Linked DNA regions of Arabidopsis thaliana. The protein of the gene in region 1 interacts with the protein of each later gene in a pairwise test. Each region holds a gene or a part of one and is shown on either strand. Other genes may lie near its edges.

Region 1 (3,305 bases):
TTTCTTATGGGCCTAACTATATTTGGGCCGGGCTTTTTGGAATGGGGCGGAACCCATGTCCAACAAAAAAACAGAAAACTAAAGTATTAATATATGTTGCTAAAAGAAATTTTAATTGTTAAGAAAAATCTTGTTATTCATGGAAAAAGAAAATAAGTTTTTCTTCAAATTTTATTAAACATGGTATGATTAAATTTATTTTTATACTATAAACTATATAATCTCTTTTTCTAGCTTAAAGTGAGCTGGAATTTTCTTTAAGAATTTTAAACCATTTTCTTACTCAAGTTTTTTTTTTTAATCTAAATAAAGGTTAAATAGTATTTTTCTCTAAATACATATTAACCAATCTATAAAGTAAAAGAATTTAAGGGAAAACTATTAAAAGTTTATTAAAGTAATTTTTATTTACACAAAAATTAGTTTCTTATTCTTTAGATTTAGTTTTCCTTCCTTTTTTTTTTCTTTTTTTTTCCTTGAGAATCTTGAAAATAATATATATATATATATATTAAAATATATATCTGTGTATTAAGAAATATTAAAATAGATGTATGAAGCTAAATACAGAAACAAATCTTAAATAATTATTGTCCAGCTAAGTGTGAGCTGGAAATTTCTTTAACAGATATAAAACCACATTCTTACTCAATTGTTCCTTTTATTATCTCTTTAATTTATTTATATTATAGTTTTTGATATCCGTTTTTAATTAATGTTTTCATAACCGTTGGAACCTTTAGGTTCGAAAGACAAACGAATTTTGACAAATTAGAAAACGGAAATAAATAACTGTACATAAAAGTTATGTTTCGGTAAATATTATGACAGAATTATTTATTCTAGAATACCAACGAAATTGTTCGTGTCCAAAAAAGAAAAAATGAATCAAATTTGTTGTGAAGAGTTTAATTTAATCCATTGTTGAAATCAAATTCTCTACTAAACTTCAAACATGGACAAACAGTTTTAAATTACATCTATAATTAATTTTAGGTATTATTATTCATCTTAAAAAAACATGAGCATACAAGAAAAAAAGACAAATGGATACCGATCGAACTAAAACAAACCCTAGTTCAACTCTCAAACTGAAAAACATGAAGAGGAAAGAAAAAGCAAACAGAAACGAACTAAAACGTCCAGAACTGAACACTCTTAAATCTCCAATATTTATTTTAAAGACTCCAAATTGGCCTTCTCAGCGACGCCGTCTCCTCCTTCACAAGCTCAAACTGTGGTTGTGGCTGTTGTTGTTGCTGCTGATGTTGTATCACTGGCGGTAGCATTACCATTAAAGGTGGAATTGTAATTATCACTAATAGTACTGTAATTAGTTGAAGGTGCATGATCTGTCATTGTAGAAACCGGAAACACCATCTGACGATGACCAGTATTTACAACCGTACAAGGGAAAACGTTATTACTAATATTATCACCATTAAAGGTGTAACTAGGAAAATTCCTATTTGGCTGGATATCTTCATTGGAGGTGGTGGTGACACCATGTCCCGTGGCTGCGAAAATGGCAGGCTCGGCATTCTGGAGGAGCCAACTGACAGTTTCACCATCGGTTTTAAAGCCGAGTTCTTTTGTCAATCTAAATAGTTGGGGAGCAACACTCGGCGGGATCCGAATGCGACGATCACGGCCACCAATTTTCAAATGGCGGTCTTTTGGAGTCCTTCTTGCCTTTTGGCTGTTGTTAATTCCATTTTTCGAATCCATTTTTCTCTGTTTTTTTTTTCTTTTTCTTTTGTAAATGGAAGTGGAAAATATGTTTGTTTCACTTGGATTATATAGAAACGTTACAGAAAACTCTATTTCTATTTATGTTATGTATGGAAAACAATAATGGTGTAACAAACTAATAATTAAACTAATTGGTAAATAGAAGAAATCTTAAATTTATATAGGTATATTTGAGAATGAAATATTATCATGTAATATAATATGTAGTATAGAAAATATATTTAGTGGACCTGAAAAAAAGAAGTTATATTGGAATAATTAATTGATAGGTCCACTAAAAAAAGGAAAATAAACCTTTCTTCTGGCAGTTTACAGAAATTATTATTTACTGATACAACTGTACAAGTATAGTCCTATTTTATCCTATTTTAATTTTTTTAAAGTTAAGGTTTTAGTTTTTTTCCTTAGAAATTAATGATATTCCAACATTGTTATTTAAAATATTATATTGTTATTTTTAAACTAGGTGTTTGGATAGGAGTTCGCATATTTTTTTTTGGACGGTTAATTTGTTCTTCAGATATTGTCTATTTGTTTATTTATCAAACTATATTTCATTTAGGGTCAAATTCCCCGGACTATCAATTCTGAAAATAGAGATTCAGACTTAAAAATATATATCCAGAAAATTCCCTTAAGCTAACCCATTCGGGATAAAAAGTTTTTGAGGCTTAATCCCACCAGATTCAAGCCGGCCTAAAAAAATTTTAATTTTTTTTTTTACTTTTCTTTTGTTAATATTTTTCTTTAATTGGAATATTTGTTTTTGTTTTTTTTAATAGTATTGAAAACCCTAAACCTAGTTTTTCAATTGTGCCTTACTATAAATCTAAAAAACAAATCTTGGCTCGACTGTCTAGATTAAAATCTTCTGATTTTATATTTTATTTGTTATGAGTTTAAATAAAAAAATTAGATTATTTTTTTTGATTTTAAACCTTTTTTTTTGAAAATAAACTGGCTTTCATGGTTATTTAAATTTCAACTGATTTGTTTTGTTCATATATCCATCTTTCAGAAATATTATAAATTATAAATTTGTTTTTTTCTGGAAAGAAAAACATAAAAAACCTGGAAAAGTCTTGTCCCTGTTATTACCAGATCTTGAAATATAAGTTCAAATTTTTTTATTTCAAAATTTTTACTAACCGAACCAGACTAAATAAAATATATTCGAATTTTCTGGACTTTGTCAGACTGGACTAGTCCAATTGACATGTCTAAACTATTATAATAAATTATTTGTATGTAAGAAAATATATCCAAGTAAAATGATGGGTTACAAGACAGATGGTTTAGAAATAACCTGATATCATATTACCCGACTCTTACACATACTTTGTTTTCTTAAAACGGATAAGAGTTGGATAACATACTGTATATTGTTTGGTCAGCCTTACTGTTTTCATTTCCAAACTGACTTTTCAAATAAAGAACTAAAAAAAAGTCATCACCATCATTTTGAGCATGTTTCTATAACTCAAGCGGAACACTTTTAGAATTCGTCAAATCAAATATATTTTGACTCATTTTAAATCAAATATTCACTTTTA
Region 2 (6,115 bases), on another chromosome or scaffold:
GTCTTTAATTATCTTGATCGAATATATGCCTTGGAATTGATTAATTAACGCCTCTTTGAAAAATTGGACAGTTGAATATAACATTTCATTTTAGGTGGGGTTTAATCATATTGTTTTGTCAACGCTAACGGAATTATTAAAAATGAACAATAAATGATATCACAAAAATAATTTTCATAAAACAAATAAGCAAACCACCATTGCCAAACCCAAAGAGGCGCACTATGCTTCCACCTTCAGGAACAGAAAAATAATAAACGTTCCTTGAATGAGAAATGGGAAATTAGTATATGGGAATTTATGTTCATGTATCTTTGACTATTTTTCTCTCAAACGATATTATTCGATACTATTAAACTATAGTTATTCACTAAATCTAAAACTGATTCGTTGAAATTTATGATATCTTCGTTTGGGGATTGTACTATATAGTTATCATGAGTTTGTACGCAGCCCATGCTTGCTAAGGTAAACAAAGTTTCATGGAAGGTTAAAAAGTGAAATAATGATATCAAAACCTTTTCCCGGCGAAATTACTTTTATTTATCTTTGATTTGTCTTGTAGCTTTTGGTTCTTCAGGTGAATTATTCAAGTTGGTTTAAAGATCCGTTGGTGGCAATGATTTGGTAGCACAGTTTAGTTATGACAGTTATAAAAAGATTTTTTTTTCTTTCTGATTAATCTTGATATTCCATTTAGAATAGAGTCATAGACATTGAGAAAAACGTAGGTTTACCACTTCCGCATTCAAATGTGTTAGAATTTAACAATCCACCTCAAAGATTTAAGTACTGATTAATATTTAAGATTGTTTTGCAAATGCAGAAGAAGAACCTCCATGTTCAATGATAGAAAGCCAAATCGTAAAACCGGATTGTCTATCTTCTCTTCTCGAGAAGAAGCAAAGAAGAGAATAACAAAAACGTTACATCAAATAATATCTCAAAGGTAGAAGTCAACCACACATCCAAATCAAACACAAAACATAAAACAACGACCAGTTTACTGACTAAAGCAACAAACAAACAACAAAAATAGATCATTTTTAATTCTTCTTCATTTCCTTACATTCGTAGTCTTACTTACTTCATTTTAAAAATTCAGAAACTAAAGATATTGATGTTTTGAAATTTAAAAACACCACCAAAAGATCGCACATATTTTGTATAGTTAGAAAGCTTTGTCATGTTCCATCTTTTAAGCTCTCATCTTCGATTTCTCCATTGCTCTCGGAGCTGCAGCTGCAATATCACCAGTTCACCACATTGAATCATTAAGACATTTTGAATCAGAGAAGACGAGTGATCAAACATGAATTGAAATCAGTTTAATTTCGATTTTATTTACATGTTAATTTGTTGTATTTACTCCCAAAAGAAGACGAGTGATCAAACATGAATTGAAATTTCTAAATCAGCTACAAGTAACTCACACCAACAAACCACTAATCTCATCATACACACTACTTGTAATCGGTTTTAGTAGAGATAGTAGTTTACGTTGTAGCTTAGGAGCAGAGAGAAGAATAGACTTTACCTAACCCAATAGCATCACACCCTTTCATTATCTTCAGCTTCTTGCAGACATCAATAAACATCCTGTAATATACATCGGATCAGAAATCACTCATGAGCGCTTATACCAATCACCATGATATAATCTTCTATGGCATGTTAGATTTGATTCTAAGATATCTGGCAGAGAGTAGAGAAAGCTTCTAACAAGTTTTGAATATAAGAGAGGAAACTTACTCCCACGGAACATCTCCAACAAGCATCCAGTCACCATCCTTATCCTCATAAGTGAGCACATAGTCTTTTCCATTCAAAAGATCCTTGAGCTTGGTCTCACTAAGCATATCCTTCCCAGCAGCTCCATTAGATCCACATTGACCTAAACATCAAATAAACAGTGCAGGTTAACTACTTTGACTGCACTCATTCATTGATCCTTAAATAGAAAGAGGTTTTCAAACACATCACTAGCAATCACTGAAACATCTCACCAAGAGTGAAAGTGGTGAACATTTTCTCCAAGGCTGAAGAAAGCTCCCCGTAGTTAGTGTAGCTCCTCAGGTCAACTTTCCTCAGATAAGGAGCACCATCCATACTGACCTTCACGAAGAGAGCCCCAGAACCTGGCCTCCCATCAACTTCGTCACTGTTCTTACAAGTAGTGGCCAATGTGTTCTTCCTGTAGGATCTCACTGGAGGCCAACCGACAATTTGTGCCCTGAAAATTCCAGAATCCGAAAAAACACCAGTTAGCTAGCTGTTGAAAGTAATCCATATCAAAATCGAACGAATGCTCCTATCTTCTATTCATACTTGGCTGCAGGTGGACTAGAGCTATTGTTTGTAGTGCTAGACTGTCCTTTGGGTATGTTTTGTGGCACATCTTTCTTTGTTACAGACTGGGTGGCTGCTGCTTCAGGGAACATCCAGTTTTTCTCAGTATACACTGAACTTTTAGCTTCAGCAAACTGATCCATTGTGTCAGAAAAGCCTCTTTTGTTTCCCGATGCATTGTTCTTTTGCGAGGAGGAGCATATCTCATCTTTAGAAGGAAGCAAAGGAAAGAATGGCTTCTCATCTAGCTTTGCTGGGCTCAAAAGGTTAAGCTCTGTGTCTCTCGCAGGAGATTGTGATCCAGGAAGACCAAGTGTCAGCTCCGTAGCCTTGAGGCTGATAGTAGCTTTGTCATCTTCAGCAAGGGGAGAGAGAGTAGAGCTTCCAACAGAAGAACAATCAGAGAGACCCAAGTAGTTATGCTCTTTAAGTCCTCCTAGAGTGTTCCTGGAGATGCAATTGCTAGTAGGTGAAGAACTAGCCACCGATACATTGCTCTGTAGCTCCTCTTCCGGGGACATTGGATACTCAAGGTTTCTTTAACTGCAAAGCTGCTTTACCTGATGATTTACACAGCACAAAGTCCTCCACATTAAATTCACATAACCATAAACAAATCCTCAAACAAAACCCTAAATTACCAGAAAAAATCAAGAACTCAATTTCAATCAAAATTCGAAGAAACTCGAAACCGTATCAATTAGGGTTTCAAAAGTAGATTGCATCTATGAAAAACTCACAACCAAAATTTAGAGCAAAATAAAGCTCAATCTGAGAAAAAAATGGAAAGCTAAAAATAAATAGAAGTCAACTTAAGGTCAGATGAAGAAACTACACCGTTGAGTTACATTTTTCGAGCTGATCTCAGATTTGAATTTCCACAGAATTCTATCTACAAATCACTAAACCTAGCAAGGTTTAAGCCAACAGCTCAAACAAACCAAAATTCGCCATAGAAATAGTGAGGAAATCAGCAAAGAAACTCAATAGCTAATAGATCTAATAACTACTAACTACACACACAAACAACAACAAGCTAAAAATTACCGGATTTGAAACTATGTATAAGAAGAACAGAGAAGACATAATTACCTCAAACGGAAAAAACAAATCCTGGATGAAAAATGGAAGCTCACAACGAAGAAGAAGAAGACGATCAAAAATAAGAGAGTCTGAGATATTTTGGAGAAGAAGAGTATAATTTTTAAGAAACTGTAGAAGATGAATAGCAAAGAGAAAGAGAGAGAGAAGTGTCAAGGTCCTTCCATTAAAGCAGAAAAAAGCTTAATTATCATTACCCAGAAACTCGTAGCCGAGATTAAAATTAAAATAACTAAACAAAGTGGTAGAATAGAAAATAAGTGGAAAAAGTTGCGTATTTTTATTTACGAATGGATTCTAATCCAACGGCTCAGATTTGATCGTGCTGATAATTCTAAACCGTCGGATTTAAATCAGCAGATATGAACCGTTGATGTACAAATGTCGGGAGTCGGATCTTTAAACAAAATTATGCCACTTTTCTGGCTCCACCCGAAAGGGGATGGTTGTCTGCAAATATTAAATTCCGATTCTATCCTTTTGTTTTTAATGACTAATGTAACCTCTATGTGATGATAATGTGATTGAGGAATGAAGGGTAAAATGGTAAAGAGAGAAAAAGAGGAGTGAGGAGGGGACAAGAAAGCGGCATTCCAAGTCGGTTTGCCGGGTGGTGAATGGGACATCTAACCTCTTCCACTTTCTTCCTTTCTCTCTCTATCTCTACTTTATTAATCTAAAATTAATTAAGACTTGTTAATCTTTTTTTATAATCACTTTCTTTCTTTCGGATTAAATTTAATTAAATTCCGCCACCTTCCTAATTTCTTTAACTTTCATTATTACGTTTCCTTATCTTTCAATTTTTTTTACTTAGATTGGCCCAACTGGATGGGGCCCATTGAGAAATGTTAGTCCCCCCAAACTTGAATTTTTCATTTTGCTTTTTTTTTTTGGTTTGGCATTCATTGTAGTCTTCTAGATAGATGAATGGGTAAATAGTATAAGTAACTTTAATAATGACTATAGATTAATCTTTTTCATAAGGTTACGTCACGTGCTAGATTTTTGTTTTTTATTTTTGTTGAATTTGCACTTAAATAAGTAAACTGATTGAAACAAAATTATAGTCATGACAAAAATTAGATACATACAAGTTTGTCCGAATTGAGTTTAAAAAAAAAATCTCATTTTTTGAAAGTATAATTTGTGGTGTTATTGTTAGAAGTACAAAATTTGAATGTGAACAACATACATATTTCTGGAGTATTAAATATGTCTGAATTGCACTGTTACGATCATCATACACAACGTTTAATCCATAGTAATAAGGATGATTGGTTAAAAAGTAAAAAAGTAAATTCGTTGGTAATAAACAGGTAAATTATGTATGTTAATTTTTATAGTCGGTTACATTCTTTTCGTGTTAAAAAGAAAAAAAGAAAAAAATTATAGTCGGGTGTAATATACATAAAAAAAATTACTGTAAAAAATTCAAAGTAATTAAAAAAGGAAGGTAATGGGAATTGGGGAAAGGGGAGCATAATAATAACAAAAGGGGTGAAATGGGATTGAAGAACACGCATGGGAAGCACAAAATATCTCAATCTGACCGTAGGATTTGATGGTAAGAGAGTAAGAGAGGCCTGTGTCCGTTCATCATCATCATGACCTTCTCTGACTCTTTTTTTTTCATCATCACTCTTCCGTACCACTCACGTTATCTCTTTTTTACCCCTCTCTATTCTTTTTAACCTTTTTTCTTTCCTTTTACCAAAGATTTAAAGACGATTAATCAAAAAAAAAAGTCTTTAACACCTTATGCACAAAGAGGAAAGTAAAAGAAAAATATTCACCGTCCAGAATAATAATACGGCATTTCTTAACCTTCCCCGTAAAAAGTTTTGATTTTCTCTTTCTCATATTTTGTTTAATCGTCTGTATAATAAGTAAAGGATATTAATTATTTCAAATTACTACAACTACCATCAGACATTATATTTAAAATTATGAGTACATGAAAATATGTGTCTAATTAAAAAGTGATTGGTAAAAAACAATAATAGTAATACAGATAAATTATTACAAAAATGCAAAAGTAAACAGTAGATCAGATTAGCAGCATTTGCGAGTACAAATAATGCGGGTTGAGACAAGACAATGAGACCCGTAGTGCTTTTGTCCTTCACGCTTATTTTATTAGTCTTTGATTGATGATGGATTCACTAAAGTTAATTAATCTTTTTCCCCGTAATTAATTAATTTATAATTAGAGTGGAGGAAATCAAACGACAAGACACGTTAGACTGTTTACTTTGGGCCCAGACTTTGCACTCTAGTATATAAAAATTCATTTATAATTGGGCTTTTATTTCATATTATAACATAGGCCCATAAGCCACTATCCTTCTTGATGGGCCATAATATACTTACCTCTCTCGTATTAAGGATTTGTTGAATTTATAATCTACGTGTTGACCCCAAAAAAAATGTAATGTACGTAAGATATTTCTTCGTTTAGTCAGTCATGTTGCTGTCAACGTTTTTATAATTCTTTGTATCACAATTTTTTCAATTTTTTTTTAACTAGAAATACACAAAAACAACTAATTATTTATTGCAAATTGTTATATGTTTTATATGTCTCAATATAGGGTCAAACGACGAGCTACTAAATCGGATTTGCACAACAAAATAATATAATTAATTTTATCGAGTTCGTAAT
Region 3 (4,512 bases), on another chromosome or scaffold:
TAGAAGCGATTTGCTCCGTCTCGGTCTCTGTTTTGCTTGATCCGGAAGCTATGATTGGAATAAACAGAAACCCTATATTTTGCGTAAGCCGAATACTTTTGTGAGTTTTAAGTTGCATTATTTATAGATGGGATCGAACTTGGGCTTAATCAAAGGAGAAGGCCCATTTATTTCCAAAACACAAAGTAGGAAATATCAGGTGGGAATTTGTTGTTTCCCCTGCCTCCTTCCTTGTATATATCAAATGTACATTGTGGTCAAATCGATAATCAAATCCAAAAATTCTTCGAAAATTTAGAAGTTGTCTCTCGACATTAATTTGTCGCTTGGTTTTCTTGACTACTAGTATTTTCTGAAACTGGACTACATCCTATTTGACAAACAAAAGAAAGTACATCCTATAATTTTATTTATAAAAGCATTCAACTAATTATATAAATTCAAATATCCAATGACCAATGGTCTGACTGGTTTAATGCACTGAAACATGATTGTCGATCGGATAATTGTTTTTTCCTTTTTTTACTATTTTTTTGTGTACTACCGAGAATAATCAGAGTGAGTTCAAGATTTATGTACTATCTATCACAAAAGAAAAATGAAAATAATATTATAAATATCCGACCATTGATTTACATCAGGCAAAAACTTTTTTCTTGGCATTACTTCGATTTAAACACAACAAGTACGTAGACTTATATATCAGTAGTGGTAATTAGCTCTTGAAATCTTCAGTCTTCTCACAGTAGACAAGAACATCCTGCAAAAAATCAACCCACAAATTAAAAATATATATAAGGATGATCATATAGTTAATTTTCTGCATAATTAACAATCTAATTATACAAAAAAGGATGAAAAGAGTGCTTACTCCCAAGGAACATCTCCAACCATCATCCAGTCACCTTCCTTATCTGCGTACGTTAGCACGTGACTCTTCTCATTGCACATGTCTTCTTCTTCAGCCCCTATATATTTCCATTTTTTCAATTCCCATCAGTTTTCATCATTTTTACAATTTACCCATTACACAGTACTTACACACTGCGCAATATATAAACTCTACCTACGGAATAATAACTCTGACATATAACGTTATCCAGATTTTTTTTTTGACAAACAAACAAACAACCTATGAAATAGTGATGGGCGATTATTACGGCGATATTAACCTTCAAACAAAAGAATAGTAATGAGCGGAAGTATTTTTTCATTCCGTAAAAAAAAAAAAAAAATCAAAACGGACTTATAAGAAAGAAAAAAATATCGTTAGAAATTTGCTACCTCTAAGACATATAAATCATTCTGATATGACATTATGTATACATAGAAACTTACAGAGAATGGATGCGTTGAACATGAAATCAAGGGTTCTGATCAAGTCGCGGTAGCCATTAAGAGACATTAGATCGATCTTTCTTCCAATTGGAACTCCTTCCATGTTCACTTTCACGTAAAAGCTCCCTACACTGTTACACTCATTCTCTTCTTCCTCCTCCACAGCCGCCACATATTCCGCATCCTCTACCGCCGGAGCTGCAACGGAGTACCCATAGCCACCGTTGAAATATTGAGTCCCTGAGGATGTCCCGAAGCTGAGTCCGAGTCTCAGGTCCGTGCTTAGGTTTCGAGTACTTGACGAAGCACCGAATGGGTTGCTCTTGCTGCTACTCTCTATTGAAGAAGACGATGAACTTCTCCCTCTTCCCATATCTCTAGCTCTCTCTCTCTCTCTCTATCCTTTTTATAATAATTTTAGGTTAAGACAAATGAGTAATGAGCCGCCATGCTTGGTTTGTACGTGTGTGTTTATATAGAAGATAAAACTAGGACTTGTTTTTATTTTATTTTAAATTTGATATGGTCTTAATTCGTATTTTTGTTCAAAGTTCACACAAATAAAAAGCGACGGTGGAATGATGAGACAGCGTCCGCTAAAAATGTTGTTAGTGTAGCAGACCAAAACACGTGTCAAACGATGATTCGATCAAAGTGTTGGTTATGATTTTGTGGGTTCGGTTTCTCGCTAGTTAATGTTTGATATCTAACCCCAAAAAATAAATATATACATTTAGCTGTTTTGATGATATGAAGTAGTATTAAAGTTAATATTGAGAAATTACATCTTCTTAATCGTGTTCAATGCATGAAAGGTTATCGTGACGCGCATTGAGGCGTTTGTGGAACTACATTACTTCCCACATTTCCAAAATTAATGTGTTTTCATATGACCTCGATACAATTAACACTTTAATCAAACAAATTATTTTCGGAAAGTGTTTGGGTAAATGCTTGCTTAGTAATCGGATTAACACTTCTTTCTTAAGTTAATTAGGTATAGTTCTTTACTTCTGTTTAACAAAAGTTATGACGAAAGTTACGATGTGGAGTTGTGGACCCATCATATGTATGCAAGCATGACAAATGTTTGAGCCTACGATGATTCAAGTCCAAGTCATTATTAACCATAAAACAATGCGATTTAGTTCCACCAGATGATTTGAATAATCAAAACCCCCAATAAGTAAGTCTTAGACCGATTTTATTTCATGTAAAAAGAAGATAAATCTCATTTTTGTTTCTTTACAATTACGTTTATTCGAAGCTTAGACATAAAAAAAAATTAGTCAACTACTAAACAAGTTGTATCAGCGCTGCCATAATCGGTCTAAAACGGACTATTCCAAACCGGTAAAAAGTGCCTATATAATGATGTAAATCATACGTAATATATTTGCGAAAGAGAAGTTGTTAGACGTAATAATAACTAAATAAATAGAGAAAATTTGAAAATTGAAAAGAAAAAAAAAAGCGAAGGAAGAGAGGGGGCATGAGTAATGAATGGTTCACCTTAAAGAGAGGACCTAATGAGAGTTCCTTTGTCTATGGAACTTAAGGAGACGTCACATTTCTCATATTTGCAAGCACGAGAAAAAGGAAACACACACACTCACGACACAACGACCAACGACTATATTTCTTGTCATTACCCACGTGGCATTTTTGTTTCCACGTGGACTCCCTCAACCACAACATGTACATTGTACAATGGATGCGTGCCTTATGGTAAAATTATATAATTTCATTGAAAATATAATATAAGAATCAAATTTTAATGGATGTGTGCTTCGTGACGAAACTAATTTCATTTCAATTCATCAAACTTCGTTATTATAATTTCATCCTTCACAAAATAACACAACGTGCAAGCATAGTGTAGCTTGGTTTGGATTGAACCATGTAAGCAATTAGAGACATATACGCACTAGAGTTGAAACCGGCTTGGTTCCCTCGCTTAATTCAGGTTTCGATATTTCAGTTTGGAAAAAATGTACTAATTAGTTGGAACCAATTGAGTTTTAGAGAAATATTGAAGAAACAAAAAAAAAATCAAGAGAAAAAGGATAAAGGAGAGATGTTCCCTAACAACACTACAAATTACAATTTCCTCACTTTCTTATTTTCTTACTGCCTCCGCCTCCTCTCTGTCCCCTCTTTTCTTCCATTATTTTCATTTGCATCTTCTCTTTATTTCTTTGCAACTTTAATCTTATGATATGTAAATTGTAAATATACTCATTTTTTTCTATATTGAATAAAAAAACTTTTGTTAGAAAAAGATACACATATACGATATTTCCTCAAAAATAATATGAAGTACTGATTTTGGCAGTCATTATAGAATTGCATTTTATTGGAAAGATACACACATAGTTCAAGTACTTTATATATGCGCTAATTTTGAGAACTCCACTTTACTGCGTCGTGGTTGCTTGTCAGTCAAAACTTGGGCTTGCTTTTAAGATGCGTGATTGCATTTGCATGTCTCGTGGCTTTCTTTTTCTGTAGCCCCTCTTGTTGGACTAATCATAGCCTTTTGTTTCCTCCCTTTGCTTTAACATTACTGAAATTATCGGATTGTTTCTTTCATTTGTTGATTGGATGTATGTTTACATTATTACATGTGTATTCATTGTTATAATATACAAGTTTTAAAACATTACTTCCCCTACCAAATAATTTCAAATATATATATATATATATATATATATTCATGAAGCATTTTTTATTTTATTTTGGTTTAATGAAGCATTAAATTTTGAACTTGCTTATGTTACTTTTATGATATTGGAAGAAGTCGAATTATTTCTTCGTTGATATCGTATATAAAATTTAAAACTCATAGAATTTCTATTCAAAAAGTAATTGGTGATTAAATGAATGGAGTGCCTATATATGTATTTTTTTTTTCTTGCAATCAATTTTGATTTAGAATTTGCATGCATGATATTTTTTTAATATTTTTTTATCCTTTAATAATTTTTTTTTATATTATCTAAAGTTGTATTTGTATTCCTTACATAAAGTTTGGTTACTTTCATCTCTAAGGTAAACTGCTAATATTAAAGAAAGTAATTTAATGGAAGCAAAAAGTGTTAAAATATGTAATATAATTTGAATGGAAGAGTAGCCCCCGAGGGCAATCAAGTGGAGGTCTTCCATGGTTAGGAT
Region 4 (5,768 bases), on another chromosome or scaffold:
CCAGTAACGACAACTTTGGTATGACGTGGCAACACTGACAATTCTTCTTCGCTACTGCAATCGCCGAAGCAACTCTGTAGCTGAGAGAATCCTCCTCCTCCTCCATTGAGGATGCTTGACTTGTTCACCGGAGCTTCCAGCATTTTGTGTTTTCTCTCTCTCTCGTTTTTTCCCTCTCTATTATCAGAAAGTACCACAAGCTTTTTTACGATCTCGGAAATGGAAGTTGGTGCATTTTGTGAAGGATTGAGAAATGGAGTAAGAGAGAAATCGAGCTGAGAAATTAGGGTTTGTTTTTGGTCTGATGAAGAAAGACAGAGTAAGAGTGAGAGAAGAAAGAGGAAAAAGCAGAGTGTATTATGATGAGTAAGAGAGAGAAAGATAGAGATACAGAGGAGGGAAGGGAAGGGACGATAGGCGATAGCGACCGCCTTCCTATCGTGACCAATAAGGTATCAACACGTGTGTTTTGTACTTGTATCATTTGCACTGTGGAAATTGAGCGGTTTTTTCATGGATGGGTACCAAAACCTTTTTTTGTTTTTTACCGAGAGCTTTTTTACTTTTTACTCTCTAATAAAGATGAATTCATTTGTTGGAAAACTTGTATTACTTTTTACTCTTTATTCACTGTATTACTTGTCTTGTCTTGGTTGTGAAGATTTAGATTTTGTAAAAACGAAATTGAAACAAAAAAGAAAGGAGTGGATACGTTTGGTTAATTTGTATGAAACATTTTGGGTACTAATTTGTATTGGAATCTGAGATTGATGCTTTTAGAGGGTTTTAAAATGATCAAAAAAGGAAAACGAGGGCCACACTTCGTAAATTTTGTGTAATGTCTACACGCGATCGACGTGAATATGAATGGTTGACTGGGTTTTTTCAAAATAAAAAAAAAGTCAGGAGTTATGGGGCCCATGCATGCGTAAGTTACGATTATACCCCTATTGTTTATTTGTTTTCGTTCCTCTCCAATGTAATTTGAATTTGAAATCACGCCTCTATTAAATATGTCATCGTATAATGTCCATATTGAACATTTAACTAAACTAAAACAATGTTCATGGAGTGATTCTTAAGCCAACATTTTTTCTTGTTCAAGACATAGCATTTTGTAAGTTTGATGGTTTAAAGTAATGTACTTATTGTCCAAAACGAGTTAGCTAGGTAACATGGAGTTAATCGGAAAAACAGAACATATTTCCAAAAAAAACATACTTAACACATAATCTACTTATTATCACAAGTAGGTTACTAGTGCCAAACCAAAGAAGAAAACCCCTAAATTCCTTTTAATGCTAGAAACGAAAGCTGGTATTAAGATTTAACTGATGATTTAAAACGTATCACCAATAATTAACACATAATCGCTCGATTAGCAACAAAGTCGTTGTAGTATAGTGGTAAGTATTCCCGCCTGTCACGCGGGTGACCCGGGTTCGATCCCCGGCAACGGCGATTACTTTAGTTTTGCCTAATTCATCGAACCCTCTGATTCATTCCAAATGTTTCCCAACTCGCGTTGATGGTTCGGGTTCCTCTGCTTTTAAGACATTAGTTACATGCTCCTGCACTTTCTACAAAATAAACGTCATAATCCAAAAATATTACATGATCATACATCATATATGCCGCCGAACCTTGTTATGGGACAAACTCGTAAACCCCTTTTTCCTTTTATGTTCAATGAACTATACAAGTTTTGGTTATGAATACATAAATAATGATGGACCCAGCAATTAATCCAAAATTTGGATATTAGATACTAAAGCTTAAAATCAACATGTAACCAAACTAAATACTTTATAGAACATAGTAAATGGTATTCACCAATCTTTATATCATTTGTAAGGTACGAAGAAGGTAAAAAAAAGAGAGAGCCAGTGTACATACAACTAATCAGGACAAAAGTAGTCAAAATTGTTTCTAAAGTGAGATTTGTATGCAAGAAAAAAGTGATAATTTTTAATTGAATATATCATTATGATGTTAATCACACGGCTTCACTGTATAAAATAAAATTTTAAAAACCAATCAAATGGTGTGTTTTTCGGTCACACAAGTAAGGGACCCACACTGAAGAAACGGTCCCACTGTGTCTCCTCCTTTCTTTTCTCTGTATTATTTGGTCATTACTCATTTTACATACTCACAGAAAAAAAAAAAGATTAGAACATAAACACACGTTACTAAGCGTAGTTATCCTCTGCACCTTAACATACACCTCTTATATTCACCTCACGTAATCTCACCCTTCCAAAACCATGTATTTACACGTGGACGATCGATACACAAGAACAATGATTCTTAATATGAACTCAATGTACTTGAACACACACACGACCCAATTTTTACATTAGATGAAAAAAATATTATTATTTGTTGGAGAAGAAAGAGAGATTCTTCTTCTTCGATTCCAGCGAAGGAAAAGCGTATTCCTCGTGAGCACTAACTTCTCACTCCTCTCTTCTTCTTCTTCATCAGTCTACGTTCACACAATCTTTCACCCACCTATTCAAAGCTCTCTCCGGAAGTTTCGAGGGGTTGGTTGTTGGTTTTCCCGATGACTTCGGATGGAGCTACGTCGACATCAGCAGCTGCAGCTGCGGCGGCGGCAGCAGCGGCGAGGAGGAAGCCGTCGTGGAGAGAAAGGGAGAATAATCGGAGGAGAGAAAGACGGAGAAGAGCTGTAGCTGCGAAGATATACACTGGGCTTAGAGCTCAAGGTGATTATAATTTGCCTAAACATTGTGATAATAATGAAGTCCTTAAAGCTCTTTGTGTTGAAGCTGGTTGGGTTGTTGAAGAAGATGGTACTACTTATCGCAAGGTGAAGACTTTCTCCATTTTTTCCAGATCTGAGCTTGTTTTATTGATGTTTTTGATGTTTGAATCTGAATTCGTTGATTTCAATTGTGGTTAAATGGGTTTGAATCTGAGAATTTGAGGGTTTTCTCAAAGTGAATTTGAATCATCAGAAACTATGGATGGATCTGATTTCTCAAAGTGAATTTATGGGTTTTCTTTCTAATTTTAGAGTTATTATTGGTATGCTAAAGTCTTAATCTTTTATGTATGATACTTGGTCCAAAGTCATTGCATTGTGTTTCTTTTGCTTACCTGTGATTGATTGATGTTTGATTGGTTATTGTTTTGCTTTTGTTGGAGTATCAGGGATGCAAGCCTTTACCTGGTGAGATAGCTGGGACTTCATCTCGAGTAACTCCATATTCATCACAGAACCAGAGCCCTCTTTCATCAGCCTTTCAAAGTCCCATCCCATCTTACCAAGTTAGCCCGTCTTCTTCATCATTCCCGAGTCCTTCTCGCGGTGAACCAAATAACAACATGTCCTCTACATTCTTCCCTTTCCTCAGAAATGGTGGCATTCCTTCTTCTCTTCCTTCCCTCAGAATCTCAAACAGTTGTCCAGTTACCCCACCGGTCTCATCGCCGACTTCTAAGAACCCGAAACCGTTGCCTAACTGGGAATCTATCGCTAAGCAATCCATGGCCATTGCTAAACAATCAATGGCGTCTTTTAATTATCCTTTCTATGCGGTTTCTGCACCTGCTAGTCCGACACATCGCCACCAGTTTCATACCCCGGCTACTATACCTGAATGTGATGAGTCTGACTCTTCCACTGTTGATTCTGGTCATTGGATAAGCTTTCAGAAGTTTGCACAACAACAGCCATTCTCTGCCTCTATGGTGCCAACCTCTCCTACCTTCAATCTTGTGAAACCTGCGCCTCAGCAGATGTCTCCAAATACTGCTGCCTTCCAAGAGATTGGTCAAAGCTCTGAGTTTAAATTTGAGAATAGCCAAGTTAAACCCTGGGAAGGAGAGAGGATACATGATGTGGGTATGGAGGATCTTGAGCTTACACTTGGAAATGGGAAGGCTCGTGGTTGACATAAACAACTAGGCAAACCCAAATGGCATGTCATTGGAATATGAGAAACTAATCCTCTTGAGTATTTTCTTCTTCGTCCAGGTATTTGGATCTTTATGGAATCTCATATGTTCTTCACTTATTATCCAAATATGCTGCCCAAAGCCTTCTCCATGGAAGCATTGGAGTGTTAGAGTGGTTATTCAATTCATGAATTTGGTTTCAAAAGCATTATTTGTAGATAAAAAAATCTTAAGATGTATGATTCTGTTTCCTTACATATGTTACATTAATTAGTGGCTTGAAACTGTCTTGTGTCTTGTCAAATTGCTTAGTCATATATCATTTCTTGAGCCGATTCTGTCTCTTAGCATCAAGATCCAAAATTTGCAAAAACATTTGCTTTTACAAAATGTTAAATTCTTTATTTCCCTGCAATCAATCTTTTGGTCAAACACTAACACATCATCAAATATCTAGTTAGACAAAGCTAGCTAGGATAGTAGCATAATCAATGAACACAGCTAGCTACAAATGGTACATTCCATAACGAATACAAACACTGGTCACTCATCTTCTTAATAGTCCAATCCCTGTTTCTGATCAAACAAGTAATGGAGAATGCAGATCCAGTTTGGTTTCAGTCTCATGGCTTTTTGTTTCTCTCTCAGTCTCAACATTACATTCTTGGTATCTGAAACAAGCTGTGAGATGATCATTAACAATGCCAGAGGCCTGCAAGAAGGAATACATAACAGTAGGACCAACGCAGCGAAACCCTCTCTGCATCATATCTTTGCTAATGTACTCTGCCTTTGGGGACTTAACCGGTACTTGACGACCATATCGATAGCCATTTCTTAATGGCTTGTGGTTCACAAATCTCCAACAATAATTACTGAACGATCCAAATTCCTGCTTGACCTGTTTTCAGATTACAACCAAAGCTATTTCAGTAAACACATAGTATCTACAATTTCATAGCAAAACACACAGTGCCTACCTTGAGAACAGATTTCGCGTTCTCTACAATTGCTCGCAGTTTCTGTTCGGATAGAATTAGACACCCATTAACTCTAAGAGACATCAACCTCTTCTCTGTGAATTGTGCTATAGCTGAAGGATCAAACTCTTCAAAGAGCTTCCTACAAAAAAGAAACCAAAACTTCTGATATCACACCAAACCAAAACACAAAATAGCAAATTCACCGTCCTAAGTTTACCTAAAGTCGTCTCTTCTGCGTAGGATTGAAGGCCAGCTAAACTCAGCCAAAGCTTGTGAGAAGACAAGTAGCTCGAAGAGTTTCTTGTCATCACGAACTGGAACACCCCATTCCTCGTCGTGGAACAAAACATAGATCGGGTCTGTTTGATCAATCACCATTATTATTATTAACTGAAAAACTTACATATCCAATGTCATCAATCATCTTCTACATTTTTTTTTGTCCTTATTTATCAACTACAATACCTAGTTTTTGCTAGGTGCAATTAATGTGTTGTTGACATCTATGAAAACTGATTGTAACCTTTATTAACTTTAACGTATTATCAAAACAAAATTACATTTCGAAAACCATAAAAAGCCATTCACATGGCATCAATTTATAAAGTCGATTGAGATATTTTATTGGGGCCAAAAACGAAGAAATTTGGTAAGTATCTTTTAATTCTTTGCAGATTCATTAAATGTTGTGACAAGGACAACAAGTCTCTACATAGTGTAAAACATTTTATTCCTAACAATAAAACCTAAAAACTAATATTTTGTTTTATTCTTTAAAAATATACTCCCTCGTTCCTTTTTGTTTGATTGTTTAGAAAAAAAAATTGTTTCAAAAAGATTAATTTTTTAGATTTTCAATAC

What was found.
Region 2: the proteins of TCP16 (region 1) and IAA9 interact in binary tests that used the Arabidopsis thaliana proteins (3 or more experiments, as listed by UniProt).
Region 3: the proteins of TCP16 (region 1) and IAA20 interact in binary tests that used the Arabidopsis thaliana proteins (3 or more experiments, as listed by UniProt).
Region 4: the proteins of TCP16 (region 1) and BZR1 interact in binary tests that used the Arabidopsis thaliana proteins (3 or more experiments, as listed by UniProt).

Annotation. Positions count from the first base shown.
Region 1 is NC_003074.8:16,529,602-16,532,906, reverse strand, and holds TCP16 (TCP domain protein 16), read right to left. Parts: upstream 1,729-3,305; coding exon 1,231-1,728; downstream 1-1,230. UniProt on the Arabidopsis thaliana protein: Required during early processes in pollen development.
Region 2 is NC_003076.8:26,251,218-26,257,332, reverse strand, and holds IAA9 (indole-3-acetic acid inducible 9), read right to left. Parts: upstream 3,926-6,115; 5' UTR 3,442-3,925; intron 3,387-3,441; exon of another isoform or gene 3,198-3,386; intron 2,910-3,197; 5' UTR 2,871-2,909; coding exon 2,329-2,870; intron 2,234-2,328; coding exon 2,007-2,233; intron 1,895-2,006; coding exon 1,753-1,894; intron 1,600-1,752; coding exon 1,538-1,599; intron 1,243-1,537; coding exon 1,199-1,242; 3' UTR 789-1,198; downstream 1-788. UniProt on the Arabidopsis thaliana protein: Aux/IAA proteins are short-lived transcriptional factors that function as repressors of early auxin response genes at low auxin concentrations.
Region 3 is NC_003071.7:19,305,060-19,309,571, reverse strand, and holds IAA20 (indole-3-acetic acid inducible 20), read right to left. Parts: upstream 1,859-4,512; 5' UTR 1,712-1,858; coding exon 1,339-1,711; intron 969-1,338; coding exon 872-968; coding exon of another isoform or gene 868-871; exon of another isoform or gene 761-867; coding exon 703-760; 3' UTR 501-702; downstream 1-500. Other genes in the region: AT2G46995 (uncharacterized protein), read left to right, coding at 1-104.
Region 4 is NC_003070.9:28,183,143-28,188,910, forward strand, and holds BZR1 (Brassinosteroid signaling positive regulator (BZR1) family protein), read left to right. Parts: upstream 1-2,361; 5' UTR 2,362-2,566; coding exon 2,567-2,833; intron 2,834-3,177; coding exon 3,178-3,921; 3' UTR 3,922-4,003; exon of another isoform or gene 4,004-4,268; intron 4,269-4,304; exon of another isoform or gene 4,305-4,504; coding exon of another isoform or gene 4,505-4,825; 3' UTR 4,826-4,904; downstream 4,905-5,768. Other genes in the region: AT1G75060 (histone deacetylase complex subunit), read right to left, coding at 1-143; AT1G75090 (DNA glycosylase superfamily protein), read right to left, coding at 4,505-4,825, 4,905-5,046, 5,125-5,266.